2 linked regions of the Caenorhabditis elegans genome follow. The protein of the gene in region 2 purifies or fractionates together with the protein of the main gene of each other region. This does not show direct contact. Each region holds a gene or a part of one and is shown on either strand. Other genes may lie near its edges.

Region 1 (16,734 bases), on a different chromosome or scaffold from region 2:
ATAACAGAAAAACAACCTGATGATCAAAACTTGGAGTTGGCTGAAAAGTCGATGTTTCTTCATCGTCTTCATCAGCAAACAATTTATGTTGAGAAATTTCAAAAAGTCGCTGAAGTGCGGAACATTTTACAGTTTCAACCGATGCATTGCATGGAGCCCGTGGAGCTGGACAACTGGGTCCAACAAGTGGACATGGTTCTTCTATACATCCACAACAACACAACTCAGTTCTGACAGGAGCAGTTAGTACTGATGGGATAATGAAGACAATTAATAGAAGTAAAATCTGAAACTTTAATAATTATTTCAATCGGAAAGCAAGAAAACTCACCATTGTTTTTTTTTGTTCTTTTTGGGTATCTTCAGACAGGGATAAAACAACAATGAATCCGTTTGACCCCTTTTTCACTAATTATGTACACACATACAAGTATATCGCCGACCCACATTGAAACCAGTCTAACTTTCTTTTTTTCTAAAGATACGGGTAAAGTTAATTTATTTTCATGAGAAAAATAATCAACATATCCCTAAACTGGTTTTTTTTGTTTGTGGATGAAAAATAAAGTATTATGTAATTTTTGTTTAAAATTATTTTGTTCGTGTCGCGACCGGGTTGTATTTTTTGAATCGCTTCTTCTTCTGGATCCATTGACTGAAAAAAAAGAAAATTCAATTAAGATTAAAATTATTTTAATACAATTGGTACATTAGTTTTGCTCCCACTAAACCAAATTTCCCCGTACTATGTATTTCCCTGTAAACTTAAATTTTATTAGAAAAATGATGATGGCTGAAATTGTTCTAATCAGAAATTACCAGTTCTCATTTTTGTTCTATTTTTTGTATCTCTTATCAAGATGTCCTTGCCACTCCAACCACTCCAAATTCGCTAACCACAAAGTATTTGACGGTCATCTTTCAATTTGATTCCCAAAATTTCCAACGTCCTACTTGATGCGTTATTTACTGTTAGTTTCCATTTTTATCGCTGATGTTATAGCTGAAAATGAAAATACAACTGTTGAATTTATGCCAATTGGCAAGGATATCACGGTGGCACCAGTTAACGCTGAAACGAGGAAGCCTGAAATAATATCATCCAGAGTTTTCAAAGAAGACGGTATAAAATACACTGAAATTATACGAAAAACATCACCCGGTGCTACACAAACTGTTCATATCAAAGTGGATGAGGTAAGTTCTGAACTTAAATATTGATAATTAATATAAGCAATTTTAGAATCCGTCGATATTGCCAGTACCTGTTCCAAATTTATCAGGATTAATGAAGCGACTTCAAACAACACTTGCAAAGAAATTGGAAGTTTCTTCTCGTGAATATGATCCACCAATAAGAACAACAACTCCTGAATATTTTCCTCCGGTAACGGCCACAATTGTACGGGCAGAAGGGTGAGTTTTTACCAAATTTTACAAACTTAATACAAACTTTGCAAAACTGTGATCGGGATCAGAATATTTTTATACTACGTTCTAGTATTTTGCAAAGAGAAAATAGAACCAGTCAACAATTAGGAAATGATTTGACATTCAAACTTTGGCCCTGTTACCACAATAAATGGAAAGACTTTAAATAAAGGAAAATAGTTTTTTTACGTTTTTAAGAGCGAAACTTAAAAATCAAATTGACACAGTTTTAGAAATTTTTAAATATAGTTCTTGAGAAATAATATAATTTTTAAAAAAAGTTTTGGTTTTGCAAAGTTCTTGAACTGAAAAAAAGGTTTGTGATTTTATCAAATAATTTTAATTTAAAACTCATGTGTTCAAAGTAAACTCTGCTTTCAGACATTCCACTAGGACGCAACGCACGTTTGCTATAATATTTACGTAAACAAGTAGATTGAGCCGAATTTCTACAGCATATGAATGTATTTAGACAAATTATGTCGAAAGTGTTCTTTCCGTGAAAAAAAACATGTAATCACGCTTAAGGAAAAAATGTAATCACGCTTAAGGAAAAAACACAAAACAAATGATTTCCGAGTAAATCCATATGTGCATGGTATGGAAATTTGGCCCCTTTCAGTCACCTTTGCTTATTTTGCAGAGTTTTTAATAAAAAGTTGAAAACTGTCAGTTTACATTCCACTTTTAATAAAGTAATGCAGACACAGTTATTGAGAAATAATAGTATATTTCAGACCAATTAATCAACGGCCAATAGGATTTGATCCACTGCCAAATTACCAGTACCCACCTCCTCCTTATCCACCAATGATGTATCCTCCGCCGTCGTATAGTCTGATGGGACGAGTTGGAAGTATGACTGATAACATTCTGGATAATGTCATGGAATTTGTGTTAGGACGTCGACGACGCTGAACTATTGCGAAGATTTGATTTATTTTTTGTTGCAAAATGAAGAAAATGACAACTTGAAATATAAAAAGTCATGAAAAGATAAAACAAAAATACACGTAAAACGTTTTTAAGAAAAGGCGGTGAAGGAAGGGAAAATAACTTAAGACTGTGGGTGTTGGGAATAAGTAGAAAACTTAAAATGTGAGTTAGGATTTAATTGGGTTAGAAACAGGAAGTTGAAATTCTGATTCGAAGACACCGGCTCAGAACTGAATTGGGCATAAAAAGTGAGTAAGCAAAGAAACAAAATTAGAAAAAAAAACAAATAAAGCAAAAAAGCAAAATCGATCGATCTTAAGATTGAGAAGGAAACGAATGAAAGGATCAGATCATCGGAAATGGGAGAGATTTGATAGAAAGGCATGAAGACAGATTGAGCAGATCATCTAGTTTGACATCCGACAAATTCAGACAGTTTCAGCGGATATTCTTGTACTACTTTGAACTTCTTCGTGTTGTAAACCTGAAAAATTAACATAAAAGATCGATTTATATTTCAACAGCAAAGTTGGAATCCTATTGAAAATTGTTACTATAGAGTCGCTATCGAGAGAGTTATGAATGCTCTAAAAGCTGATACGTATGCTGAACTCAAGATATAAATTTTCCCGATAATTTCGGCAATTGGCGTTCTCTGAAAATTTAAACTTATCGGAAATTGACGGGGCTGCCGATTTTCGTAAATATAAGTACTGTTTAATTGAGAATATCGCCAGCGGAAAAAAGTGGCCGACTGCCGAAGATTTTAATATTGCGGAAAGAATACCTTTAACTTGTTTGTCTTGGTGTACATCAAAAGTGTTTCTCCAGCTCCGTTGTACACGATTCCCAGTAGATCCCTTGGCAGATTTGGGAAATACTTGCGTGTGTGGCCTGTGAATGTGGCTAAGTTCCAGTATGCGTCGTAGATGATGAAGTGTTCACCCTGAAATCATTTCAACCATGACAAGAAGGTTTTCTTAAGATTGATATCAACTCACACTGAGAACAACTTGATTTCCATCGGCCCATTCAAATGCTGACAATGGATGGATTGTGATGTTTCGGGGAAGATCTTGTGGGGTATTTTTCGCCAGCTGGAATCTACGATGTTTTCTGTTCCAACGGAATCTGTATGCAGTTCGTCCATCAAAGAGAATTGTGACTCCAGATCGAGAATTTGTCAATGCGGCGGTCACAGTTCTCGGTCCTCCAGCAAAGAATTCACTGATCAAGTAAGACGCTTTTTGTGGAAGTCCGTCTTCAAACCAAATTTGATAAACCCTTTCGCGAGCAAAAACATAGGTTCTTCCATTGATTCCCTTTGTAATTGCATCGAATTTTTCAGGACAGACATCAAATGACAGAGCCATTGCTTTCTTTGGAACTTCAGCTTCTTTCTTTTTCGGAACAACATGAGTGATTCTCCATGGAGCAAGGATCAAGTCACGACGTTCACGTCCAAGGACGACTTTCTGCTGACGATGCTGCTTGTTTTTTCTACGACGGACTGTTGGATCTTGTCCACTGGCACGAATCATTTCCCATTTGGTCTGACTATTCATACGTGGCAAAGTTGGAACTTCTTCCGAATTTACTTCGTATTGAGGTGCGTCATCTTTGTCGTCGATCATCTAGAAAATAAGTAATATAACATTTGTTTAAAATTAGAAAATTCCTTCTATAAGAAGGCTGCAACAATAAAATAAAATAAAAAAAAACAGAGACTTCGCTAGTTCACTTCTAAATTTCGGACAATGTATTTCTTCTTCAGATTACTAGTTTTCACTCATTGAAGCAAATTTTTTGAAAAGAGCTTACTATTGGATCCGATTCGTGTTTGTAATAGGTGTCTCCAATTTCTGAATTGACCATTTTGTCCACGAATCGACTCTCCACCGTTGTCACCAGTATCAACAGCAATACCACCAGTGGCTTCCTCATTCTGAAGTTAAAATAATGTTTCTTCATAAATATTTTACAATGAAGAGAGGGCACGGAAAAATGAAAAAGACAACATGGTTTCCTCCAGACAGACTCAAACCACGCCTCTTTCATACACACGGCCAACACACATTGAGATGGTGTCAGGCAAAGTGTCAAGTAGAGACAATGTTTGAGATGAAGAGACAGAGAACATAGAAGAGGTATGTGGCAGATGAGCATTTTTTAAATTGAGAAAAGGCGAGAACGAGCAAGATAGTTTCAAAGGACAGAAAAGGAGGAAAAAAGTGAGGTCGAACGGAAAACTTTTAAAACTTTCAAACATGAAAAGGAAGAATATTTGAGCAAATAGGTTTGATAAAAATTTGATACAGTTAGGAAAAAAGAAGAAGATGCCCTTAAAATCAATATTGTATTTTATCTTATATGAAACTGAACCCGCTGAGTTGTGAATTTCGGACTATTACGATCAGATGTTTCACATCCTACGTTTCAAGTTCTATTTGTCATATTCTTTTTCTTAAAACCTCTGCCCTTCCAACAGTCTAGAGTAAAGTTACAAAAAGAATCCTTGATGACACATTTCTCACTCCTAACCTTCAATATCCCCGTTGTTAAAAAGCAAGCAACGTAAACATTTTTCCATTATCTACCATCGGCTACCATTTTATTTTTACAAATTTACGATCAAAAATAGATTTTTCTAAACAAAATCATGAGATATCGTCTGGGACATCAAAGTAATATAGCCGACGGCAATTTGCAAAATATGAGAAATATGAGAAGATCAAGAGAGGTATGAAACCACAACGTCTGCATTAACAAGTACCCCTATTTTGCATAACACGAGATTACGATACGTGCGCAAAGAAAACGAAAGAAAAGGACAAGAATAGAAGAGATGAGGATGGTAAATGTGTGAAAAACGGTTGAATTACCAAGTCAAGTAGGTTGAAGAAATGATTTCTTACGAGAAAATGTTGGGTATGACATCTTGCAAATGTCTAGACTTGACTTGAAATAGTAAAAAGGGTCAAAAAATTAAATTTTCATGCGAAGTGCTTTTTATGTTTATTGTACATGGTTTTTACGAAAACGATGTTCAAGTGATATTTTGAATATATTTTCTGTGTTTTAGATAATTCTAAAAACTTTTTTACGACTTTTTCCATAATTTTTGTATACGTTCATCTGAATGAATATGAAATTTCAAAAAGAAGAACTCTAAAGGATCAAACACCACAGTCTATGAAAGTTTGAATAGAGAATAACATTGATATTTTTCCCCATTACTCTCATTTCAACTCCATACATATCTCTTTCTTTCCCGTTGCTCTTCAACTTTTCTTTCTGATTTGAACGTGTTTGCGATACAAAAGAGCCGGGAGGTCTTCCTCGCCGCTGAGACAGTCGCCACCCGCCACATGAAATTATTTGTTCAAATTATGCCTTGTACAATAAGTGTGCGGCTCCTTGTTCAACCATGACACTTTTGTTTTCCGAAGAACAGAGTGGCTCATGCATCGGTCGTGGGGCAAGTCGGCTGAACACTGACTGAAAAGCTTGGCTCGGCGCGTGAAGTGTGCTCATCAGGAATGACGAGTTGCTCTTTTGTAACTCTCCGACAACATGTCTTTTGACTTTTTTGAAGGAAAGTCGGCATCAATACACACACACAAAAAGAGATATGGTGATTATCTGGCTCTCACGTCCACTCGTTTGCAAAAGCGGTGTTGGTTGCCATAAAAGGTTGCTCACACGATTTACTGTAGTATTGCAAAAGAACAATCAAAAAGTGCAAAGTAAACGTGCGTTTTTGAATCTATCCATTTGAAATAAAAGGTCGGGACTGGAGATGAACAGAAAGGACGGTAAAAAGAAAGAAATGAAAGAAAAACTTGTGGAATAGGGTAATGGTCAGTTTTCGGAAAAGTTGCAACGTAAGCGTCTATGAAAATGATTACCGAGAAGCTTATATTTTATCATTGAAAAACACCACTCGTACTCCTATTTTCCAAAAAAAATACTCTGACAGGCGATTCGGGTAAGGTCGTTTTGAACAGTGTGAACATACTTCCAAAACAAAAACTTCAAGTGATGACCATCATTTATTTATTTTTGAAACATTATAAAAAATTTCATGTTTACTCTTTAAGGATCAACCTAGGCAAAATATTACTTATTGGTCTAGTTCTTGAATTATGGCAGAAAATTCAGTCTTTGAAGTGAGAATAGCGTTTTGGAAACATAATTCAAACGTTTTCAAATAATGGTAAAATACAGTAGTCATTTCACATCTGTGCATTAGATCGATCAATTTCATTCATTTTATTCATAAAAATGGGAATTTAAAAAATTCAAACTTGAATTCCACAAAAAATTCTGTCTGATCCCTAACTACCAAATATACCAATACTATCTGACCTGAATATTTCAATTTTTGCTCACTATCATTTCGTTGACAATCGTTACAGTCAGACCATTAGAATGTTACACACGTAAACGTAGTAAACTGATTATATCATCGACTGGCAAACATTCGATGTAGAATTACATAATAGAATTCCAGAAACAAATTTGTTTTCAAAAAAAAAACATTTGTAACAATGGGAACCTCCCAAAACAAAAAGTGTTATCAACGACAATTGAGGAAGAAAAATGACTAAACGATGTGAAAAGGAGGCGAAAATGCCCACAAACAATTTGAGCAAGAGCCAGTAATCAAAAAAGTAAGCAAAAAACCGTGGTGTACTCTCATTCGGAAGGCTAGAGAGTAAAACAGAAAAAGGACGCGCAATGTGGCCAAGAACGGAAAGAATATAAAGAAAAGAGAAGAAGCGGCTTTTGCATGTTCACCCTTGTTTGCTTATCATAATTTCGAGAGAATCGCTCACGCCGCTACACAATTACGAGGCGTCGGCGACTGTTGAATGGAGGAGACAATGCTCGCAAATCTGAGTTCATCAAACAGATCAGACTTTTGCAAAATTAATGGGATTAAGCTATGTTTTTTGTCACTGAAAAGCTAACAGTTATAACAGCAGAAAAATATTTTTAAAAGAGAATGCCAATCAATAAAACCTGCATCAAAGTTTTTAAATCAAATTCGATTAATATTTATTTTTGGGACGGTTTCTTTAATGAAACGTCTCAGGGCGATCCGAGATATTTTTAAAAGTTATGAGAAAATAACTACAACTGTAAAAATCCATTCATATTACCTCAAAAAATTTTCACATTTTGAATTTTTTTTTGGTGATTTAAAAATTGCAAACATATAGAAATAATTTGAAATTGTGAATAAACTGAAAAACATGTTTTTTACAAGTAGATTGCAATATAAAAAATGTAACTCCTGTGTAAAGTCATTTGCGCTGGAGATACGAATTCAGCTACATACTGTTATTTCCATCGACTGCATGCCAAATGGAGATCGGATGCACTACAATTAGAAAGATTTTTTTACTTTACACTGTTACATTATGCATGACACTAGAGTTTTAAGCATTCAGAATATGCACAATGAATGAAAACTCAACTAATTTCTTTCAGAAAACAAATGTTAGAAATAATATGATAACATGTATGGTCCAAAGAAGGACTATATTCTTTGTTATCAGTGGTATGATGTTTCAACAAACTCATCAAAAATTAGTAGTTTGCTTATCAAAGCAACGGGCCACCGAGTATCACCTACACATACCCCCACTCACACACACAAACGTATACAACAAACATTGGCGCCCTTATCACAATGGACACTGAAAGAAAAGAAGGAGGACGCACCTCCTCAATATATGGCGCAATCTTGGAAAGGGTATCATAATTGGATCGCAATGTGATACATATACAGAAAACAAATACATACCAAATAGTATAGAGAGCTCGACGATGAATCCGTCTCCAACTATTTTTGTTTCTTTCCCAGCATTGACAGCACCGAAAAAATAGGAAAGAGTCACAACAAAACGCACTCTATAATACAATACAAAATTCTGTCTAGTACGATGACGTTCCGCATTATTTGTTCAGTTCTGGCACGTTGCCAAAATACAATAAAAAACATATCACAAAAACCTGAAATACAAAATTGGTTAACAGTATGGGTGGTCTCCATTTGGAGAGAGGGGGGGGGGTGATTCGAGACGGAAGGATCGATGTAGACAAAAGCCAATCTTGAGTGCTGTAGCTCTCAGTGATCACTCTATTTGTATTGTGTTTTTAAAACCTTATCGGCGAAAAGACACAAGGAAAACGCGCGAAATCACACGTGTAATCTTATTATATTTGTGTCTCTAAACTATTTTATCAGTGTCTGATATACCCAATTTGGTGCGGCAATGGTAGTCGTAAAGCCTTCAAATTTGCAGGTGATAATGATGTTTGGATTGTGATAGTAATTAAAAAAGACGGAGTAGAAGGGCTCGTTGTACAGTGAATTTTCATAATAAGGAATCAGTATTAAAATCAGATTATGTATCTAAAAATATTCAGACTACTATTGGAAATTAAAAGTTCAATTTTGAAAATATGCGTCTATTTTTCTTCGAAAAACTACGGCATATTATCCATTAGTTTTGCATTTCTGTTGATTTACTTTGACGGTTTATTCATTAATTGTCGTTTCAAATATATCATCTTCTGAAATCTTCCAGAAACAGTTTTAAAACTCTTATACCATGCACTGTTTGAAGATTTTATTCACTTTTTGAACTATGTATAACGTCTCCATTTAAATGTTCCTTCTGGCGTTATGACACATGAAAAATATTGTAGTTTTATATGAAAAATTCCCCACCGATTTACATATTCCCCTCGATTTTTCGTATAAGAATAAGGTTGAAAACGGTATAAATGAACACATTGCTGGTGGAAATATCATTCAGCATCTCGAGATGGTTCGGTTGATTCATCTTATTGGAGCTATTATTCTACTCTTTTCCTACGCCTACTGCGGACTTTCTCGGCTCAATGAGCATGATATCGAAGAAAGTTACTCTCATAAACGAGTTAAAAGACAATTCGAACGTCTTGGAACAAAATGGTCATATGGAGTAGTTAACTATTATTATGCGGACAAGAACAATGAAATAAAAGAGATGGTTGAAAGTGCGATTGCTTACATTGCAAATCACACTTGCATCAGGTTCAATGAGGATCAAAATGCTGTACAGCGTGTGCAGATTCGGATGCAACAGTTTGTTTCATTTACGACTTCCTAACAAACCGTTGTATTGCAGAAACTGGCTTTGTCAGTCGACAGTCGGAGCACCAGGTATGAGTATGAGTAAGCCGATTGGAGAGCTTTCTATGTTGGTTCAAAGTTGTGATACCATCGGAAGTATCGTTCATGAATTCTCGCATTCACTTGGAAGATTTCATGAACATACTCGCCCTGATCGTGATAATTTCATGAAAGTAACAACCACTGTACACGAAGCAAGACCCAGGCCATCGGGAATGACAACAATGTATGGACCATTTGAACATGGAAGTGTCATGATGTACCATGCAGACACCTATGGTCCTGGAACTATGGATCCATTGGATATGGACTACAAACAAACAATGGGAAATAGAAGAGTGACTTTTTATGATATGTACAAAATCAATCAATACTACGGATGCTGGTGTTCCAAACAGTTGGAATGCAAAAATGGAGGATATACTTCACCGTCGGATTGCTCCAGATGTAATTGTCCAAAAGGATTCTTCGGAAATCTTTGCGACGAAAGACAACAAGATTCATACGAATTAATGGCTGTAAACAATTTGTGGCAATCAATAACAATTCCATTTGCTTACAAGCCAGAGCCAGGATCGGATGGTTTTTATTCAACATTTGTGTACATAACTGGGAAAGCTAACTCAACAATTGAGATTACTCTGGAAGGACTCCAGGATGTAATATGCACGGCTGGATGTACTGTGAACGGTGTTGAAATTAAGTTCAAAGAAGATTCTAAAATAACCAGTCCAGTGTGAGTTTTTGTTTTAATCGTGCTTTCATTCTTGAGCAAATGAATTACCCAGTCTCGACATGACGTATTTTTCCGCTAAATTGTTTTTTTTGGAAATATGTCTGAACTTATTTGCGTCAAAATTCCAAAAAGTTCAGCCCTTTAATTTTCATAAACCAACATTAAAAAATATTGATTGAAACCAGTCAATAATATTTTTGAAACAATTATATTCTCTTATAACGATGATTTTTTTAATTTCTAATTTAACTTTTCATCTAGCGTCTGCTGTACTGATAAACCACCATACAAGAACGTGTTCAAATCGTCTCACAACCCAACAATCATTGAATTGTACTCAAGGACGACTTTACCATCAGCTGTTACATTCAAATATCGCTTCACGAATGACAAAGTTGTGCTTGGTTAACATTTCAAGGAACACAATTAATCTCATTCCCGAATAATGAATACGTCATCTTTTATTTTTCCTAATTATTTTCTCTTCAACAAGCTACATAAAACAAATGACAAAGTTGGAATATTTTTGACCATTCTCAGTTTTTGGAAATTTGTATCAATCAGATCTTAAACTCAAACAATAGTCAGTAGACATATATTTTTGGTATTCTAAAAAGCCCAACTTACAAAATGTTTTTAAACAGATTGGATGTTGGAATTAGTTTTAAAACGAGTTCAATATTTTTCTCAATAGGCCATTACTCGTTATCTTCGATGTTTCAAGTAAAACTTCAGCCGAATCGCTAACAATTCAATTTGAATTGATACGGCTTCGAAGTAGGTACCAAAACGTTTGTCTGTCTGTCCTTAAGAAACTACCTATATCTCTGACACGTGAACGTCTTCTCATTTCTTGATTTTATTTTCATCAAAACGATTAAAATAAATTCCAGAAAACGGCAAGAGCACGGCAGGTTTTGTTTTGCTTTTAGAATAAAACTAAAAATCATTGAAGAGTTTTTCTCCAGTTGTTTGTAATTGTTCAATCAGGAAGTGTCTCAAATACTCTTTCTTCGTGTTAATGTTTGAAAAAACCCATATCGACATAGTAAATACGATTTATTAAGACGGTGATTTAGACGTAATACTGATAATTATCATATCCATTAGTTGACTTCTTATTGCTGCTCAATGGAGTATCAACGTATCTGTAATGAATTGTCAACTTGCTGCTTCCGTATCTCTGTTGCATAACAATTGGTGTTGGATTTTGTTTGCTGGAAATGACTTGGTTCAGATATTCAGTGTCTTGGGCACAGCATCGTCTGAAATTAATAATATAATTGTTCTCCTTCACTATCTGAATGATCTCACAGTGGATTGGTAATTCTCGGATCACCCATATATTTAACCTCCACTCCATTGTAATTGCATCCGTAAGAGCATGTGAAACCTGAGAGATCCATTATCTTAACCTCAATCGTTTTGTCAGCTGGCGCAGTGATCCACAAGTAAGCCAAGTAATAGTTGGTAGTTTGAATTGAGGTACTGTACCCAAAATTAACCCAATATCCTTTCCAATAAGATTCTGCGGTGAGCTTGATAGTATTACTTGGCTGAAAACGTCTGAATTTAGGTGAGCAAATTATTTTTTTACAACTGACTGCTTCGTTGCAAAGAGTTCCAGCAAATCCAGTCGGGCAGACACAAGTAGCACAATTGGATGGATTTGTATATCCACCATTCTCACATGTCAAACTCTTAGCACAACCGCAAGAATATCGAACGTTTATATTGACCAAATCGTAGAATGACACTCGACGCAATCCCATTGTTTTCTGATAATCTTCGTTCTTTGAAACAAGGGTTCCCTCTCCGAAGGTGTTGTATCTGTACAACATAGTGCTTCCATATTCGAAAGGTACAGCATTGTACGTCGTTTGTTCAGTTTCTTTTTCCAAGTTTCCAACCATATTTTCAGGAACATCTTTGTAGCTGACCGACAGGAAGTTATCACGATCAAAACGAGAGTGCGTGTGGAACAGTCCAAGAGAGTGCATGATTTCGTGAACAGCAGTACCAAACTAAATTTAATTCTTATTTTATACGGGGGTTCGTTGTAACATCAGCTAAACATATTTTTCAGGTTGAACTCTAACTAATCTCAAAATCAGCTAATTTTTCAAAGTCGTCTCAAACTCACGATAAGACATCCATCTCCGAACCACAAGGTTTGTTCTCCTCCATTCATTCCAATATAGGAAGCACATCCTCCTGTATTTGTAAAACGAATTCTGTTCGTTGCTGAATTACTTTCTTGGAATTTGACACAAGTGTTCGAACTGATATGGGCCATCGCATATGACATCAATTCTCGTTTAAGACTTGCTGGAATTAAGTTTACATAACAACTTGAATATAAATTTTTTTAAACTTACTGAATTCATTTTCGTAGTAATAAAATACTTTTGCATCTGGCCATTTTTTCCAAATCTTTGTGATCTGCCTTTTTGAACGTTTTGCGGTTCCATTGAGAATTCGAAGCTGAGCTTCAGTAAGCATAATGTCTCCATCTACAATACCATCTTTTCCTTTATTTGAATCAAACTCGTCCACATCTTTTCGGATCGCTGATCCAGCAACCAATGCCAAGAATAAAGTTAGAAGTAAGGTAGATGGTCGAAGAAACATGTCGAAGTGATTTTCTTTGACATCTTCCATTGTTTTATACAGTTGATATTTTTGCATATTGATGAGTCTCTCATGATTATGCACTAAATATGCTGACAACTTTTGGATAAGAAATACATCAATATCGTGAGAAAAATGAAAGAGAAGATATATAAAAATTGAACCAGTGAACTAACAATTTTAGATTATATTGAAATTGTACGTTCAAAGTTTACGTATCCTCTTTGAACTGGACTAGCATCAGGGGTGCGCGGCAATCGGAAATTTCGGTAATTGCCGGTTTTGGAAATTTTCAGCGATGGGCCATTTTCGGCAATCCGCGATTGCCAAAATTCAAGAAAATACGGAAAATTCGATTGCCGAACGGCAATTGGCGCGCACACCTGACTAGCATGTGCGCCCAGTTTGAACATTTAAGATGTTTTTTGTTCTTGGAGCAAAACTCCCTATTAGTTTTAAATTGGTGCACCACGAATTTTCAAAAACTCCTTGTGTTGTTCAGCAGGCGTTTGTAACCAGACAAATGATGAAATTTCATTCCTTCATGGCTGGATCCCTTGATTCAAAGGAGCGGCCATAATTATTGTTTTGAGTATTCCTCAAGTCTATGACCAAATATCATTTCACTTTTTCTTATTAAATCAGTTCTCCGGCCAAATAGTTCTATGATAGTAAGATTATCCACAAAGGGTGATTACATACGAGTGTTTGTCATGAATAGTTATGGACGTCATCCAAAAAGCTTTCATTTTTACTATTTTATTCCTTCTTAAGAGTTTATTTAAGTTATGATTATGATGTTCCAACATGCGGCATTGGTAGTAAACTTGTAACATGTCATGACTTTGACTGGAAGTATTAAAAAATCTGATAAATCTGAAATCGAAGTTTTTTGTAGTTTTTTTCATGGACTTAAATATTTTGAATCAACAAAAATTTGTTCAGACATAATCCCCACTGCTACTTAATATAACAGACTACTTAATACAAAAGAAGAAAGAATATTCGACAAATTTGTAAATGTTTCACATAATTCAAAAGATCAAAAGATGATTCAAAAATGTTATTCGAAAATAATTGACAAAGATAATTTAATCATAATACTCATAGTTATCATATCCATTGGTTGTTTTATTGTAGCCACTCAAGCGTTCAGTCACATATCTGTAATGGAAAGTCACTTTGTTTTTCCCAAAAAGTGTGTGAATATTCATAAGAAGCGGATTCAATTTTGATCTGAACGATTTCCCATTGATTAAATCAGCCGAACAATAACTGCAACAAAAAATTATTCGGAAATTGGGAAGTATTCAAAAACTCACATTGGATTTGTGATTCTGGGATCCCCCATATATTTGATCTCCAATCCATTAATAAGACAGGTAGGGTAACTAAAGAAATTATCTATTCCCACAACTTTCACTTCAATAATTTTATCTTTTACTTCCAATGGCAATCCAGTATCCTTTCCAATAAGACTCTGCACTCAACTGGACACTACCAGTAATCTGAATTAGAAACATTTTTAAAAAACCGATGTACATGGAAGGTCATATAAGAAATAAACTAACTGGACGATCACACAAGACTCCACCATATCCCAACGGACAAATGCATTCCGAGCATTTCGACGGATTTGTGTATCCTCCATTTCCACACAATAATTCATTTGGACATTTGCAGTTGTATGCAGTATTTAAAATTACCATATCATAAAACGTGACTCTTCCTATTCCAAGTGTGGCAGAGTATTCTGACTTCTTGGGAAACATTGTCGATATATTCGCATAGTAATGCATAGTGCTTCCGTATTCATAAGGTACAACGTTTGTAGATTGGTTGAAAATTGCATAATTATGCATCATTTCCTTGGACACATTTGTCAGATTAATGTTTAAAAAGTTATCTCGATCAAGTCTAGAGTGGGTGTGAATAACACCTAATGCATGCATTAATTCATGAACAGCAGTTCCAAACTGAAAGTTTATGTGATTGAGATCTGTCTATCATTCTTTCGGTGTGCCGTGTTTGGAAAATTTTCGAGTTTTGAAAAATTGTTTTCTGTACCTGTCATCGAAAACTTTCCAAAAAAAAAAAACATTTTCAATGCATTACAATTATCTTGACATTCCCGGTAACTTCTGGTCTAACTTTTGACCTCAACAAATATAAAGTGATACGTTTTCCTTGAATCACTTGAAATGAATGATTGATTTAGTTGGAAATAGTTTGCAGTTTCTAGAAAATGCCCACCACTACCAGAAAATAATCCACTTTTTTCACACTGTTAAGGCAACACATAAACATTAAGTTGGTCGTGAACGCCGAGAAACGGAAATATACATATGTATGTCGAAATGAAAGAAAAACTCACGTCTATGCACGTATCGTTAAATGTTAGATGTTGTACTATGTTATTCATCCCAATGTATGATGAACAGCCTTTACCGTTAACAAGTTGGACCCTGTTAGGAATTGAACAGTTTTCTTCAAAAGTCACGCAAGTTTGTGAAGATATGAAGTTCATGGAGAAAAGCATCAATTCTCGCTTTTCAGTACCTCAAAGTACATGTTTATAAGTTGTATTTCACTACTTCAAAATATAATAGAACTTACTGAATGAAGAATCAAAGCAATATAATAATTTTGCACTACTCGGTAGTTGGCTCCTCCTGGGGCGCGAAGGGGGTGCGACTGGCGCGCGAAAAGAGGTGAAATGCGCCTGGCGCGAGGATAGGGCGTGACTGGAGTGCGGAACAGGCGCGCTCGGATTGTGAAAAGAGTATTCTGAAACTGCCAAAGTGTCTACATAAGATGTATTAATCAATTTCTTGCGAACATATTATTGCTTTGAGACATATTTTCACACAAAAGTGAATTGTGTTTGTTCTATACGTTAATTGTAAACGTTTTGCAGCCATGCTAGTTACTGAAAAACCAAAACTTCAATTTAAATTCTGATATGAGGTTAGAAGAGAACAATATGGTTCATCTTACAAGGAAATTGTATTAAAATCTATCAATAATCGTACTGTTATCTAATGATGTTACGTTATAAAATATGTTCATTTTACCTATGCAGATAAAGTTAAGGCGATGTCTTGAGAATGTCTCCATTAGGAAACTCGCAGCATTGGCATTGTGGAGGCACGATGCACACATTCCTAAGAAAGTTGCCCCTAAATGCCAGGTATATTTTCCAATAGAAAGATATAAAAGATATGTGTAGTTTGTGTGAACATCTTCAAACTAATTTTCTAGATCACATGTCTCGTTGTTGTATTTTATACGTTTAGTATTGTGGCACCATATTACTGAAAGCTGAAAGAGACTAGATTGGCAATTATTATATATCAACTACATCATTCATACATATATAACATATAAGTGAAGAGATATATATATATATATATATATATATATATATATATATATATATATATATATATATATATATATATCAACCTGTTTTGGCAATGAGGCTGTCTGAAAGTAACAGGTTCGCGAAGAGAAACTGTTTTTGCACGCCGTCCGCGTTCTGACCGCGCCCCATCCGCGCCCATTCCGCACTCCTTCCGCACCCCTTCCGCGCCCCGTTCGCGCAACACGAACGACAATCCGTCCAAAATTGGCTTATGTTCGAGAAACACCACTTCTCGATGAGCAGCCTGCGGCTCCTGCTATTCCAGAGTGAATAGAATGAGATTAATGAAAGTGATTTATGGAATGATATAACTCTTGATCAAAAGTGTTATGATATTATCGAACAGATCAACGAACTGAAGGCTCGCCGCGATTTCTACGCAAGATT
Region 2 (15,944 bases):
GTTTGATCATGTGAAAGAAGGCGCATCAGAAGCACCTGATCTCTTGCGGATTTCAGATCGATGCGATGATTTGTGAAGAAAGTTGAGTTGATTCCGAACTTCTCACAGATGCTTTTCAACGGCATCACCCATCCTTGACCGTTCACTGGACGCTTTGGCTTCTTTCCATTCTCATCCCGACGCATGTAGATGTCTGTGTATCGACCCTTCCATTTCGAGTCGAACTTTGAAGAGAAAAGCAGCTCTTGAGTGATCTCGGTGTCATCATAACTTGAACGAATCAAATTAGCCATTGCTTCCTTTGTCACCTTCTTATTGCATGGAGTAATCGATCCAACACGGGATTCTGCAGAAGCTGCAATTTTGTAGGCTGCATGAAGAGAGAAAGCTCCTGGCGATTGATGATTTTCTAGGACAGCATTCTTCATCTCCAATGCTTTCCGAGTCTTCATGACCAACGCTGGTTCCACTTGCATCGCAGTTCGGGCGGCAAATACTTTCATCCGAACATCGTTGAAGTGTCCCTTTGCCATCTCAATGTCGGCTCCATGCCCGGAATCCTCGCTTCTTCCTTCGTCCTTTGGTTTCTCGGAGACAAGACAGTCGAGAGCTTTGGATTTCCGCAATTTCGATGGAGCTGCATAAGTAGACGGAGCACCGCGTGGGACTTCAATCGCATCCTCTTCCGAGTTTCCGTTCAGACGCTCCTTGGATCTTCTGCAACATAAAATATTAATTTTCTAATACTTAAGAATCTCAAAGTACCTGTCCTTCTGAGCGAGCTTCTTCACTTTCTTCCGGAAACTCTTGCTAAGCGTGCTCTCGCTGTTGAATCTGGCTCTCATGCAGCTCACTCCCTTTTGTTGAGGATAATCCACCATCATATCCATGTTATCGGTGCTATCCGCGGAGGAGTCGTCGGTGTTTCCGGAGCAGAAGCTTTGAAGCGACGTCGCTCGCTTCCGGCCAGCTTGTGAGCGCATCGCATTGATTTGCTCGCGGAACATCACTTCGCTGTTCAACGCCATACCTGGAAAATAAATAAGCTTATTAAACGGCAGAAGAGACAGGAAAAACGATTTTGGGAGAGCACAAAATGGAAATTAGACGAATACGCGGATTTTTAATAGAAAATAACTGCGAAAAATACTGTTTAAACAACTGAACGGAAAAAGTCGAAGTTTTAGGAGAACAAAGAAAGAAAAAATTTCGGAAGTTTCCAGAAAACAAGTGCAATCATTTCGCTGAGCGGACAAAATACAAAATTTCGCGCTCTCCCAAGAATGTAGAACAAATTGTAGAACAAAGGTACGGTAGCAGATAATGTGTGTATTTGCGTACTTTTTTTTTGCATACCGTACTTTTCTTTACTTAATCGCACATTATAACGGAAAACGCATGTTTAATTAAAAATAGATTTTTTAAAAATTGTTTATAAATATTCAATATACGGAAAATCTGATTATGCACTTCGTGGGGATCGAACCAGTGTCCTGCTGTGCCTCCCTTATTCCCCACTGCACCATCAACCACTGCTGTTTCGCAGTCTCCGTCTCCTCGACAACACACACTCGTCGCTTCTCGCTTGCCTCGAAATGTGTCGGTACACACGTTTGGGTAAGAGGAGAGGACTCGTTGGTATCTTCGGTTTTAACCCAGTTACTCAAGGTACGCTGGAGTTCTGACCTTTCGAAAGAAAGTGTCAAACGACTTTAATTTTTGGAACCGCTCTGCTGGGGTCATCCGGTAGAGCAAAATAATTGAATCCGATTTTAAAAGTTTATTAAGTTTTATGTGCATTAATGACTGACTTGCAATTCTTAGCGAGAACTGTTGAGCTATGATAGATGGTGCGAGTTTTATCCTTTGTGAACACTATTTGGAAAAGGTTTTATTCACTTGAAATCGTTTCAGGGAAAGAACATGAGAAGATTTGATTATGCTTTAGCTAAATTCCAAAAAAAAAAATTATTAAGACATGCGGAAGAAGAATTAAACCAGGATATATCACAACTTGGGAAGGAATCAACAAGCCAAAAAATAATGAAAATTATTCAGCAAACATGGTAGAAAGTGATGAGAAGAAAATATAAACACACAAAACATCACATAAAACGCTAAACAAAAATTTAATGAAACCTTTTTTCCATTTTTTAAATTGGTCCATCAATTTTCTTGTTTTATGTGATGCGATGCATGTGTGCTAACAAGGAAGTTTATTGGAATATTATGAAAATGAGAAAACAAGTTCACAAATTGGTAGAATATGGGGTGCAACAATGAAATTTTTAGAAAGGTTTAGCAAGATGAGCAATAATCTCGTGCTTTCGTTCCTCGGTCATCTCGTTTTTCGTGATCAGGCCGTCGAGGATCTTCTCCATTGTCAAAAAGCTGAAAAAATTTGATTTTTAATTAAAACGAAAAAGCCTCACCTGAGGAAGTTAAGATTATCTTCTGCGAGATTGGCAGTTGCTCCCTGTTGTCTATCCAAAACAGCTATGGCATCAGTGACCAACAGATTCTCATTGCGAATTGCTTCTGCTGTCTCACGAATTGATTCACCTGATGTGACGACATCTTCGACAAGAAGTACTGTACCACCAGGCTGATAGACTCCTTCGATAAGTTGCTTTGTTCCGTAGGCTTTGGCTTCTTTTCTTTTCATAAGCATCGGCACATTGAGAATATCAGATACAAGCTAAAAACATTGAGTCTCATTTTTTAGTGTGAATTATTTCTGAAAACTGACGGTAGCAAGTGGAAGGGCAGCATATGGTACTCCAACAACATAATCGAATTTGAGGTTTGAGGCGACAATTTTCTCACACATAGCTTGAGCAGCCATTCGGAGCACACGAGGAGAGCTCATTATTCTGCGAAGATCTATGTAGATTGGAGTCATCTGGCCAGATTTGAGGTAGAACTCCCCAGTGCGAAAACATTCCATTTGATAGAGATTCTCGAAAAAATCAGTTTCCTGGATTGGTGAAGCGGCCTGGACTTTCATGACGACTGGATCCTCGATTGAGTGATTTCCGTTGGCGGTAGCGGTGGCGGCGGTCATTCTGAATTTTTAACAATTTTCGAATATCAATGTGAAACAGGTTATTTTCTTTCAATAGAAAAGTGAACAAATATCACTTGGTCAGATGAACCAGGTACGTGATTTGAAGGAAGAAAAATAAATAAATAAAAATGTGATATTCATGAAACAAAACAAATCAATTCAACTTTAAGAAAACAAAAATCACTCTATAAATCCTAAAACTGTACAGAAGAATCGAGAAAACAGACAACGCAAAGTACGAAAAGATAGCCTCGTTTGATAACACTATCATAAGGAGGTGTGGCCAAAAGTGCATTGTCGGCGATCTTCGACCCGTAAATTTAAGTCGATTACGAATTTCATGTCTAGGGCCTTGGCGGAGCAATTGGGTAACTCTTCGGGATACTCTTCCACTCCTTTTCAGTACGTTTGTAGATCATCTGTCGCGTGAAATGACCCATCTTTTGATTTTCTCTCAAATCCTTGACTGCTTGACGTTCGGCAGGAGATTTGAGGATTTCTTCCAGATTGCATTCAACCTTTGGAGCCGGCAGTGTGTCCACTTGAATTAGATCGACTTGAACCTGAAAAAATATGGTTCAGATTTTTGTAATGACCAAAAAGTGACAAATTAATTTAGAAAAAGAACAAAACAACATTCGAAATGAATCTAAACAAAGAAAACTTTTAAACAATAAGACCCGATCATACATCAACATCAGATAATATATAATGAAATTTAACTAACTCACCGTGTCCAGGTCATGTGTCAAAATAGACTTTGTTTTCTGTCTAGCTTCCCGAGACATGTGCGCCTTGAAGAGGAAGAAACTGCAAAGAACAAACAATTTTTTTAAGATATATAGTTTTTAAATATTACTTTGAAGCGTAGACGGGCTCATTTGTCTGTTTGGCCAGCCGTTTATACGGTAAATCTCGATGACCCAGTGACTCAACCTTTTCAATTACTGCTCCGTGATCCAGCAAAGTGTTTCCAGCACGCGTTAAAGCTTTAACAAGATCTGCCTGAAATAAAGAATATTCTCATGATTATACACATTCTCACGCTTCATCGTGTTTTTTCTGTACCTTTGACAGAGATCGTGTGATCATGCTCACTTCATAAAACGGCATTGTTGTTCTCGCCCAGTATGAATGCTTTTTCTTCACTGAAAATATTTTCTATGCTACGAATTTGGAAATATGTCAATGAAAATCACGATAAGAAATCACAGCACAAGCTATTTTTCCAAAATAGGAAGTTGCCATTTTTCAACGACAGGCTGTGAACACAAGATTATTAAACAAAAATTTACTAGAACAATAAAATAAATGTTCAATTTTCAATTTTTCGCATTAGAAAGTTAATTTTCCGTCATTGCAATCGAAAAAAGTTAATTTTAAAGTAAAGAACCAGGAAAAATAAAGTGGAAATACGGGATGGGTCTCACCACGGCCAGTGTCGATTTACGGGGAAATTGCATGCGCCTTTAAACGATGATATTTCTTTTTTGAACGGGAAGCGGGAAATTGTCGTTTTTAAGCATTATTTATTTATTTCTTTTCATTTTTTCATTCAAATTATATTCTAGATACGTTTATGGCAGGTTTTTCCGCAATGATTAAGCGTTTCTCACTGTTATGTCGATTATTAACGTGTTAAACTGTTATGTGTTGATTTTTTATTGTGATAAATTTATTTTCGTTTTTTAGAAGAATGGCTCCAACTAACAAAGACGGAGATGTGGCGACTGTCAAAGCTGTAGATGTTCTCAAACAAAAGGCTGGAGCCCATCATTGCCTTGGAAATGTTCATGCAAACCTTCCCGTTAATAAGGTTAGCATACCTGAGCGAGAAAATTCGATTTTAAATAAACACAATTATTTAAGGTGACCGTCCATCCATTGGTTCTTCTGAGTGTTGTTGATCATTTCAATCGTGTCAGCAAAACTCAAAGCGTGAAGCGTGTTGTTGGAGTCCTTTTGGGGTCCATGAAAAAGGACAAAACTCTGGATATTGGAAACAGTTTTGCTGGTATTTTTAAAAATTTATTTGCTTACTTATAAAGTAATTTTCAGTTCCGTTTGATGAAGATGACAAGGATAAAAGTACATGGTTCCTCGACATGGACTATTTGGAGAGCATGTATGGAATGTTCTACAAGGTTGGTGAATTTTGAAATCTCGTTTTTATTTAATTTTAAACAAAAAAAATGAATTTACAGGTTGCCGCCAAGGAAAAAATCGTCGGATGGTATCATACGGGTCCAAAACTTCACAAGGTATATAAGAGGCAAAAAAGAGACGGGGACAACGCGCGTAGTGGTCTAGTGGCTAGCAGGCACACACTCTGCGCCTCCAGCCATTGGTTCGATTTCTCATTCCACTCGGGTTTGTGATGACTGCATACGGATCACTGGGCTCTGAATCTCTATGAACCGATAATATCCGTTCTGATACCCGTTTTTACGGTTTCATGATCGATGGAGCGCGAACTTGTTTAAATTTGAAATTATACTGTGCAAATAACAACAAAGCAAAAAAAAAAAAACTTAAAACAAATCAAATCAAAACTTTTGAAAAAAATCGAAAAAAATGCAGTGGATACCTGACAAAAAAAAAAGAAAAAACCGTGTCACAGTGTTGCGAAATTACGCTCCGCCTTACTTTCTGTGCCACCCTGATTTTTGCAAAATTACGGTGTTCAACTTCAACAGTTTAATTAATTATTTATTTATTAATTTTACAGAACGATATTGCTATCAACGAGCAATTGAAACGATTCTGCCCGAACCCGGTTCTTGTAATTATCGATGCTGAGCCAAAGAACATCGGATTGCCAACAGAGGCTTACATCGAAGTTCAGGAAGTTCACGATGTACGTTTCAAAATACTGTTTAATTTTTTTTCAATATATTGTTTTGTAGGATGGAACTCCACCAATCAAAACCTTCGAGCATGTGCCTTCAGATATCGGAGCCGAAGAAGCTGAGGAAGTTGGAGTCGAGCATCTTTTGAGAGATATCAAGGACCAAACTGCTGGAACTCTTTCACAGCGTATCACCGATCAACTTATGGGCTTGAGAGGACTGCAATCACAGCTTGAATCCATTGAGAAGTATCTTCATGATATTGTGCGCGGAACTCTTCCAGTCAACCATCATGTCATTTACTATGTTCAAGAAGTTCTCAATCTCCTGCCTGACGTCACTCATCCAGACTACATTGTTTCACAGAATGTGCAAACTAATGATCAGCTCATGTGTGTGTATATGGGATCTCTTGTACGATCGGTGGTCGCTTTGCACAACTTAATTGATAACAAGGTGATTTGCAAAGATTTTAAAATTTATTAAAAGCTATGATTTTTAGATCTCTCTCCAGAAGGCTGAAAAGGAGCAGGAAACTGGCGAAGCTGAGAAAAAGAAGGATGAAAAGGATAAGAAAGACAAAAAGGATGAAAAGAAGGATGAGAAAAAGGAAAAGGACAGTAAATCATCAACCCCTAATACTCCAAAGAAGTGATAAACAAACTCAGAACATTGATTGTATCCTCATGTCCACTTCTCCACCAATCTCTTTTTCTTTTACCCTATCGCATCATATACATTTAATTTATTCGGTCTTTTATTTTTCTGTGCATCAATGTAGTATTTTATCCCCGGTATTTAGATCAGTTGCCAATAATTTTTCAGAAGACAAAATCTAATAACTTTATTAGAAAAAATAACAAAGATAACATCCCCGTAAAGCAATGGTAAATATCACGAAGAAAGGCATGGCTTATTAAATTAGGAGTATCCAATGTGGATTTAAAGATCTTTTTGCTGATGCTTGATGTAAATGCCTTCGGCAACTTTCCATGCACTTCCACCAGTGATCGAGTCGGTGCCGACGACCTCCCGTTGTCCATGAATGGGGCGTCCGAATTGTTGTCCCGAGAGTGAGAGGTATGAACCAGTGACAGCGTGGCGAAGTTTGAATTGCTAAAGTGAACAATATAGGGTATTCAAAACGTATAGATAATATCGAAAAGGAATGTAACAAACCTCGGATTCCAACCACTCATCTCCGTTGCAAATCACAGTCCAATCATCTCCCGTGTCACTTTCTGCTTCGCTGCCAAAAGCGGAGACCTCCTTTAAAAAATCAAATTATTCATTTGTTTTCTCGAATTGCCAAACAAACCTGATGTTGTTTGGAGAGAGGTGCAGTGAAATGATGGGAATGCAGGAACGTGCCCGTGGTGAGGTGCTTCAGACGGATCTTGTCTCCGCATTTGATTGCATCTCCACGATTGCATTTTGCGTTCAAAGCTGAAGTAAGAGAATGTTCGGTTTTCTTTGTTCTTTTTTTTCAAAAAGCATTAATATACACAAATTATTATAGTTTAAGTTACTAGGCGTTAACTTCCAAATAACTAACCTGGGAAAATCTGCCAATGAGAATTGATGTCGTCCGAGTTTTTTACAGCAGTCACAGATTGTTGGCCGGACCCGCTTCCGTATTTTACGTCATGCGAATGTAACCTGAAACCTTTTTGTTTCAAACAAAATCTACTTTTTCGAAGGGAAAATGCTCATTTTCTCAGGAGATATTCTTTAATATTTACTGTTGGTGGCAACTATTTATTTAGTGTCATTAACTTTACCGAGTTTCTAATATTAGTGCAAACAATTTTAATAAAGTAAGCTGGCTCACGTACCTAGAGCCATCATTAGCATTTATAAACTTTAAAACGCTGTAGCACGTCACAAAGTCTTCATCGGCGTATGCAAATGAGGCGAAGAATAGAAGTGGAAAACTGAGTAGTAGTGGCAATTTCGGCATTATTTTGGTTCCCTGTAATAATATTCTGTTTTATTATTCCAAACTTTCTAGAATTTCATAGAGAATGTAGCAGAAAAGATTATAAAAAGAGAAGCTCCTGCAAAAATTAAATCAACGTCGCTTTGCACGAGATGTGCGTCAACCAACGTACACCATCGACAATGACGTCAGTAGCCGCTCTTGACGTACTTTGTTCCCAACACCTTGTGGTTCCGCAGTCAATTTTTTAGCTGTTTGGCGGCCAATTGACGCGACACCGCTTATAAAATTTATATCACGAGACCTTCTAATCTATGTTTGTTTGAAATCATAAGGGTCTTATCACTTTCCATTTTAAATTTGTTCTCTTTTGAAAACTTAAACCTTCTACTTACAGCTCAACAGAAAACACGACGCATGGGTGAGCGAGAAAGGTGGAACAGGTGATGAAGCTCAAGCGGTTATTGATATTTGCGTAAGTTTTTTATTGTATTCATATAAAATAATCATTTAAAAGTCGTTTTGATGAACTGAAGATGTTTTCACTAAGAATTATCCCAAAAATGAATTTAATTGCTAATATTTCAGCGTACTACTAGTACTACCCAACATAAATGCTAATCAAGAAGTGTCATTTGTAAAACACTGGAAAGACATTTTACTGACTGATGGAGAACATAGGTAATCTTTTATTTTTAAAACACAAATTCTTACAAATTTTTTGAAATTTCAGTCCAATTTGCGCATTATCTATCGATGGTTGCGCCAGGTCAGCCCCGTACAATGTTTCGAAAAAGATTATGAAGGCTTCGGGTAATAATATTTATATTTTATTCCATAAATAAAATATAAATTCAGTAAATGCATCGGAAAAGGATTCGATACCCGAGAAAAGCATAGATAACTTTGATGAATGGACGAAAAAGCGAAGAGATGCGGTTGCGGTGAGTTTTTATTTTATTCTGAGAGAATTATGTTTTAAATTCGAGTTTTTAGAACCAAAACGGACAGAATCAAAAAACAATTGAGCCAACTCAAGTTGCCCGGCACGATGAAGTTTCAATTCCGCTGCCCCCAATCACTCGTCCACCGAGAAACTTTGCCAGTCGGGAATGTGGCGCTAAAATTATCGCTGCAAATCCTGAAGCTGAGAATGCTAAAGCTGTTGTAAATGAGAAAGACGTCGATGATTATATGAGAAATCCATGCCAATCTGCCAAAGAAAAATTTATAGTTATTGAGTTATGCGAAGCAATTCAGATTAAAAAGATAGCTATTGGAAACTTTGAACTGTTCGCTTCAAGACCCAAAACAATTCAAGTTTTCATTTCTGAGAGATACCCTCCTCTCGCAAATTGGATCTCTGTTGGACCATTTCATCTGCAGGATCATCATAAGAATTTGCAAACTTTTGATGTTCCAAACACAAATGTCTATGCAAAATATGTCAGGATCAACCTAGAAGATCATTATGGAAAAGAACATTACTGCATTGTTTCGGTTGTTAATGTGATGGGGAGTACTTTGGCTGACGAATATGACAAAGAAGAAGCTGCTGCTCATCTTTTAAATGTAATTGAAGAAGTGAAGGAAGAGCCAGTGACAACTCCGCCACCATCGGAGCAGAAAATGCAGACACAGCTTCCAGTGCCACCGAAATCTCCGAATCAAACTGTTTCAGCACGAATGAAATCAGTAGAGTAAGTTTTCTTTCCAAAAAGCACCGAATTAATTATTAATATTTAATTTCAGCTTCCGTCAACTGAAATCGGTTTGCTCACAATGTTCTGTAGGGAAAGTTTCCAACCTCATATGCCATATTCTTCCAATTCCAACGAGAGTAAAGAAAAATGATTTAGTCAAGCCTCCGAATAACCTGAAAACATCCACAATTAAGCCTGCAGTTACGGATAAGCGAGACCTCAAGACAGAAATCGGATTGTGGGCAGAACGAAGTCGGCATTCTAATTTCGAACAGTCTAGGAGAAGAAATTTGGCAACAATCCAAAGACTTCACCCGAAAGATGTGCAAAAAATTTCCACAGCACCTGATGTTCCGACACCTAAAGCTGAAAATATCGAAAAACCCACTGAAAAGCCATCGGAAGAGGTTAAACCTCCAGCTCGAGAGCAACCACAAGTTTCCTTGCCTCCAAAGCCGAAATCTGAGCCGATTCTGCCCGCCGGAGGATCCACTAACCAACGGGAGCTGGTTCTTATGAAATTAAGCAAACGTATTGCAGCAGTTGAACTAAATTTAACACTGAGCTCGGAGTACCTTTCGGAATTAAGTAAACAGTGAGTAAATCATTTAATATATTTTTTAGAACGATTAATAAAAATATAATTTCTCAGGTACGTATCTCAAATGAGTGGATATCAACAAGAATTAAAGGAAACTCGTAAAGCTTCCAAGAAAACCGCCCAAACTGTCGAGGCAATGATGAGATCGAAAATGAATGGTGTGAAGCGGGAGTTGCGTGATCTGAGGCAGTCTGTATATCTCCTCCAAAAGCTAGAGAATAGTCGATACAACAATGTACAAAGTGAAATGAGTCGACAAGTTCTTATGTCTTCCTGTCATATTAGCTCGAATGTTCCGCCAAGTAAGATTTTTTGAAGATGAATCAACTTTATTTTTCTAATTTTTAGGTCCAACGATAGCTCGGCTACCTCTAATTATTCCCGCTTTGAACAGAAAGCTTGAAAACTTCACGAACTTTGAGGAAAGAATGAAAAAGATTTACGAAACTGCCAAATCGGTGATGTTCGGTTCACTGACATGGAATGTAAGTTTACCAACTAGGTAACTAGAAAATCCCGTAACATTGAAATTTTCAGACTGATCATCTAATTGTGGCTTTAATATCATTCAACATCATGGCACTATCATTTCTTTTTGCTGGCGTCTTCTACATTCATCGAAGAAATAAGGAAAGATGCGAAGAAACTCAAATCATTGTGAAAAACGAATTGAGAGCTCGAATCGCGAAAGTTGGAATAGAGAATCGCAAGCTGATCTCAAAAGGAATGCGAAGAGCAGAGCTGGCGGTCACTGCGGCTGTTTCATCTGCGTTGAAGATTGAAAAGACGTCGAGTAATCGCAGTGCGATGACAGAATTAGAGACGGCACTTGCGAATTTGTTTGAGGCTCAACAGACGCGGATTGAGGAGCAATTTGAGCAGAATCAGAAAATGCTCCGAGACGCTTTGTCGGAAAGAAATGGATCCCGATTTGATGATACTTTAAGCGTGGAGGACAGTGAAAGCTCGTCGGAAACGGAACATTCAAAGGAGGATACACCGACTTTAAATGCAGATTAGAAAATTACTGTAGTATTTATTCATAACAAAGCTTGAATTTGTAGTAGATTACTAACTTGGTGACTAGCATTCCATACGAGTTCAATTCTTTCTTTCTCTTTCCTTCCTTTTCCATCACTCTCGCCCATTTACAATCAAATTGCCCTCTTCCCCCATACCGATTGAATTGATTTCGTTTGTACAGGTTTTCGACATTCAATGTCGCTTATTATTCTCCATCCTGAACCATTTTTCAGCTTGCTGTGCATGCTTTTCTCCCCCAATTTTACTGTGAACAGGGTCTCCTCGCCGTCCGGTGTGATATATTTGCCACACCGAATTGATTTACTGATTCAGATCTTTCCATTATAATTTTATTGTCACTGTAATTTTCCATGAATTTTTGTGTACTTTTTCTTGGCATTTGGTATTTTATCGAGTTATATTCTCTAGCTAGATATTTGAAATTTTCAAGTCAAGATAAGAAACATTATAAAATTCAGATGAGAGGGGGTCAGGAGATTTCGGATCCCATGGATCTTCCGTCGACATCACATGACTCAGCCGATATGTTCGAATCGAGGAAACCACAGAGCAAGTATAAGGTAAGGAAGGTCTCAAAACGACACTTTTTTGTTAAATGAGAAAATGTGTGCGCCTTTAAAAAGTACTGTAATTTTAAACCCTTGTTTCTGCGAAATTTGTATCGATTTTGCATAAATTTTCGATAAAAATATATTAACTTATGTATAAAAAAAATCAAATTTGACAATTTTAACACATAAATTTTGAGAATAAACTAACTGAGAGTTTGAAATTACAGTACTCTTTAAAGGCGCACACCTTTCCTCATTTATCAAAAAAAATTGCCGCGTCAAGACCGGAAATCGTATTTTCAGCGCAAAATTCACAAAGGACAGCCAGGAAACGTTTTGTTTCAAAAAATTGAAATTCCAAAACTCATTACCAATATCAAAAATTTGGAATAATTGAAAATCAATTGTTTTTTCGTGACGAATCCCATTCAAAAAAATCCATGCGCCTTTAATTTCGAGTTACAGATATAATAAACCTAAAAATTGAATTTTCAGAATTCTCATTTCGCAAACTCCGTTCTCCAACAACTCGGTGGGCTCAAAAATCGCGATGTGCTCTGTGATGTGACACTGGTATAATTTTTACATTGATTATTTATTTAATCAGTAAAAATTTCAGATTTGCGGCTGGAAACGAATAAATGCACATCGAGTTGTGCTGTCTGCGTGCTCTCCATACTTTTTGTCAATGTTCACTTCTCAGATGGCTGAGTGTTATATGAGTAATTATTTCAAATATCAGAAATCACCTACAAAAATTAACTTTTTAGGAGAAATTAACATGGAAGAAATTGAGCCACCGACTCTTGAAGCACTTATCGAGTTTTGTTATACTGGAGCCATTGCAATTGATGACTCAAATGTTCAGGATATTCTTCCGGCGGCATGCCTCCTTCAGATTCATGAAGTTCAAACCGCATGCTGTGATTATTTGAAAAAACAGTTAGATCCATCGAATTGTCTTGGGATTCGAGCATTTGCGGATACACATTCCTGCAAAGAGCTCCTAAGTTCTGCAGATGAATTTGCACTGAAAAATTTCTCGGTAAATAATTGCTTAAAAACACTTTCCTTATTAGCCAGATGCGAAAATTTGTGATTTTTGGACCAACAATGGTCTCGCCACGACTTTGCTGCGAAATTTTCATTGATTTATTGCTTTTCGATAGAATTTTTTCTGAAAAATCGATGAAAATTCCACAACAAGGAAACTTAGAAATTACAGTACCCTTTAAAGGCGCACGCGAAACTCTTGGGTAATATATTTAACTCCAACTTTTTAATTTCAGAGAGTGATTGGAAAAGAGGAATTTCAAATGTTAACTGTGGAAAGCCTTACAACAATCATCAAAAGCGATAAACTCAATGCAGCTTCTGAAGAGCTAGTTTTTTCCGCAGTAATACAATGGGTCAGACATGATATTTCAAAAAGAAAAACTCATTTATCCATGGTAAGGCTACAGAGATCCAGAGCTCTTTTTATTTATTATTTCTTCAGCTGCTCTCCCATGTCCGTCTGCCTCTATGCACTCCGAAGTTCTTGGTGAGTGTGGTCAGTGAGGAGATCCTTGTCAAATCGGATCCAGCGAGCCGAGATTTAGTTGACGAGGCAAAAAACTACCTGCTTCTTCCCGTGGAGCGTCCGAATATGCAAGGTCCTCGAACGAAACCCAGAAAACCTCTACAAGGATCAGAAGTTTTGTACGCTGTCGGAGGCTGGTGCAGTGGAGATGCGATCGCTTCGATCGAGCGCCTGGATCCAATGAAAGGAGGAACCACGTGGAAGTGTGTGGCTCCGATGGGAAAACGAAGATGTGGAGTTGGAGTTGCTGTTCTGGAGAATCTTTTGTACGCTGTGGGTGGTCACGATGGACAATCATACTTGAATAGTATAGAAAGATACGATCCAATGACCAATCAATGGAGTAGTGATGTGGCACCAACTGCCACATGTCGAACGAGTGTTGGAGTAGCTGCTTTCAACGGATCTCTGTATGCTGTAGGAGGTCAAGATGGAGAAAGTTGTCTTGATGTTGTCGAAAAGTATGATCCACGGAAAAACGAGTGGGCGAAAGTGGCCAGTATGGGAACTAGAAGGCTAGGAGTTTCGGTTTCAGTTGTTAATGGTTGCATTTACGCAGTTGGTGGATCAAATGGACCCGCACCTCTGAATACTGTAGAAAGGTATGATCCTCGAGTTGGAAAGTGGGAAGAAGTTCGACCGATGCTAACCAAACGAAAGCATCTTGGAACAGCGGTTTATGATGGATACATTTATGCGGTTGGTGGAAGAGATACCACTACAGAACTCAACACGGCGGAGAGATACAGTGTCGAAAGAGACGAATGGCAACCGGTTGTTGCCATGAGTAATCGGAGAAGTGGAGTCGGAGTGGCGGTTGTTGGAGAGAAGCTTTATGCGGTTGGAGGATTTGATGGACAGACTTATTTGAAATCTGTGGAAATTTTCGATAAAGATACGAATCGATGGAAGACGCACTCGCAGATGTTCTACCGACGGCTGGGCGGTGGAGTTGGTGTCGTCAGGGTGGCAGATGCTCCGGAAACAGAATTACATGCAGTGAAACGACGGGATTTATAATTTAAAATTTTGATGTTAAATAATAAGTGTACATAAAAAAGAAAGTTATCTGATTTTTAATAAATATTTAAAATTGATTCAAAAATTATGCACTAATTTGAAGTTCAAATTTTGAAGACTAAAATATTTTTAACCAAAGAATCGATGGAATCCAGGGTAATTTTCGTGAACTTTTACATTTAAATTTTCTTTACGTTTTAATTTTCACGTTTTCAAACAAAAAAGCGACTTCTTGACAAAAAGTAATTTATTTCGAACATTTCCATAGAGGAAAGCAAGTGTTCTCTTCGAAAGCCAATCTTCAATTTGAAAAGGTTTGTTTTTGTTCTACTCAAATAAGTTGGTCAATAAGTTTCAATTTGACCTACAAGGACACCGCGGTGGCGGGAAGAAAAGAAGGCTAATGTCACTTCGTTATTTGTTTCTTTTTGAAATCTTGTGGCAGGTGGCCGATGATTAAAATGGTTTCTTTTCCGCCGACGGTTTTTGATTTAGTATTCTTTCTTTGCTCGCAATTCTTCGTTGATTGAAGAGACGGAGACTGGCATGGCAGTTCGTTCTGTTTTTTTTTCATTCGACACGCGTAGAAAAATTATGTTGTTTGCGCTGAAATACATATTTATCGATTGATTTCAGCGCAAAACAGAGACACCACGGTTTCAAGATCTGATGGTTTTCCGGATCTACCATTTCCGGATCTACGTTTTCCGGATCTACGTTTTCCGGATCTACGTTTTCCGGATCTACGTTTTCCAGATCTGGCACCGTGCCAACTCTTAAAACGCTATTTTTTCTAAGAAAAAAGTGACAACGATGCTCCGATGTTACGCGTCGCGTATTGTTAAGCGTTTATTCTAGAAGAAAATTTCGAAAAAAGTCGTGCGTTGAAAAGCGTTTTGTGCGTTGGCAGGTGCCAGATCCGGAAAACGTAGATCCGGAAAACGTAGATCCGGAAAACGTAGATCCGGAAAACGTAGATCCGGAAAACGTAGATCCGGAAAACGTAGATCCGGAAAACGTAGATCCGGAAAACGTAGATCCGGAAAACGTAGATCCGGAATCCCATCAGATCTTGAAATCGTGGTGCCTCGCAAAACAATTAATTCTCTTGAGACTACGGTACACAATTGCGGAAGATTACTGTAGATGGAGCCGGTGTTTGCGTACTTTTTTGGGCCAGAGATATTTTTCTAGAGAGTTTAAAATGTTTTCATCGCTTTGTTCGTTTATTTTTGTCTGTTTATTGTGATTTTGTGCGAAATTAATGTAAAAATTTCCATATCCAACACTGTTGTGTGATTATTTCGGATAGATAATTAATTTTCAGCATGTTGAGTTTAGCTTTCGTCGTCCAATTGAGCTTTTTTTGATTTTCAGTCAAGATTTTCTTTCGCCTTCCGCTTTTTGACTTTTCTACGCAGTAATGACCAGTCTTGATTTCTAGCTTTTAGTGTATGGTTTCCCATTCGAATGGCGCCATTCTGTTATTACATGAGTCACACTTTATCACTAATATACATGCAGCTTAATTTTAGAGTGAGCAAGCCGCGAGTATTAAACCAGCGCTGTTTTAAACTGATAATGATTG

Evidence for each region.
Region 1: the proteins of R12E2.13 (region 2) and K03B8.6 fractionate together in Caenorhabditis elegans (co-fractionation; one large-scale study listed by BioGRID). This does not show direct contact.

The regions. Positions count from the first base shown.
Region 1 is NC_003283.11:11,395,162-11,411,895, reverse strand, and holds K03B8.6 (uncharacterized protein), read right to left. Parts: upstream 4,313-16,734; 5' UTR 4,312-4,312; coding exon 4,189-4,311; intron 4,002-4,188; coding exon 3,369-4,001; intron 3,314-3,368; coding exon 3,155-3,313; intron 2,852-3,154; coding exon 2,771-2,851; 3' UTR 2,353-2,770; downstream 1-2,352. Other genes in the region: grl-3 (Ground-like domain-containing protein), read right to left, coding at 17-286, 332-334; K03B8.8 (Conserved secreted protein), read left to right, coding at 958-1,197, 1,244-1,416, 2,169-2,349; Zinc metalloproteinase nas-19, read left to right, coding at 9,207-9,508, 9,552-10,292, 10,554-10,701; Zinc metalloproteinase nas-17, read right to left, coding at 11,368-11,557, 11,607-11,848, 11,897-12,316, 12,436-12,620, 12,671-12,980; Zinc metalloproteinase nas-18, read right to left, coding at 14,179-14,198, 14,246-14,314, 14,368-14,431, 14,495-14,899, 15,298-15,462.
Region 2 is NC_003279.8:4,170,560-4,186,503, forward strand, and holds R12E2.13 (MIR domain-containing protein), read right to left. Parts: upstream 7,889-15,944; 5' UTR 7,877-7,888; coding exon 7,752-7,876; intron 7,576-7,751; coding exon 7,472-7,575; intron 7,363-7,471; coding exon 7,235-7,362; intron 7,186-7,234; coding exon 7,096-7,185; intron 7,033-7,095; coding exon 6,859-7,032; 3' UTR 6,746-6,858; downstream 1-6,745. Other genes in the region: Inactive protein-tyrosine phosphatase egg-5, read right to left, coding at 1-717, 766-1,028; R12E2.11 (Orotate phosphoribosyltransferase), read right to left, coding at 2,289-2,391, 2,433-2,698, 2,750-3,064; mrps-6 (Small ribosomal subunit protein bS6m), read right to left, coding at 3,412-3,630, 3,799-3,877, 3,927-4,072, 4,136-4,180; rpn-8 (26S proteasome non-ATPase regulatory subunit 7), read left to right, coding at 4,764-4,883, 4,937-5,081, 5,126-5,211, 5,272-5,328, 5,796-5,924, 5,974-6,372, 6,419-6,571; suco-1 (SUN domain-containing protein), read left to right, coding at 8,302-8,330, 8,444-8,536, 8,589-8,668, 8,714-8,799, 8,852-9,555, 9,608-10,153, 10,211-10,461, 10,508-10,644 and 1 more; kel-20 (BTB domain-containing protein), read left to right, coding at 11,662-11,763, 12,250-12,327, 12,374-12,476, 12,525-12,799, 13,044-13,205, 13,253-14,356.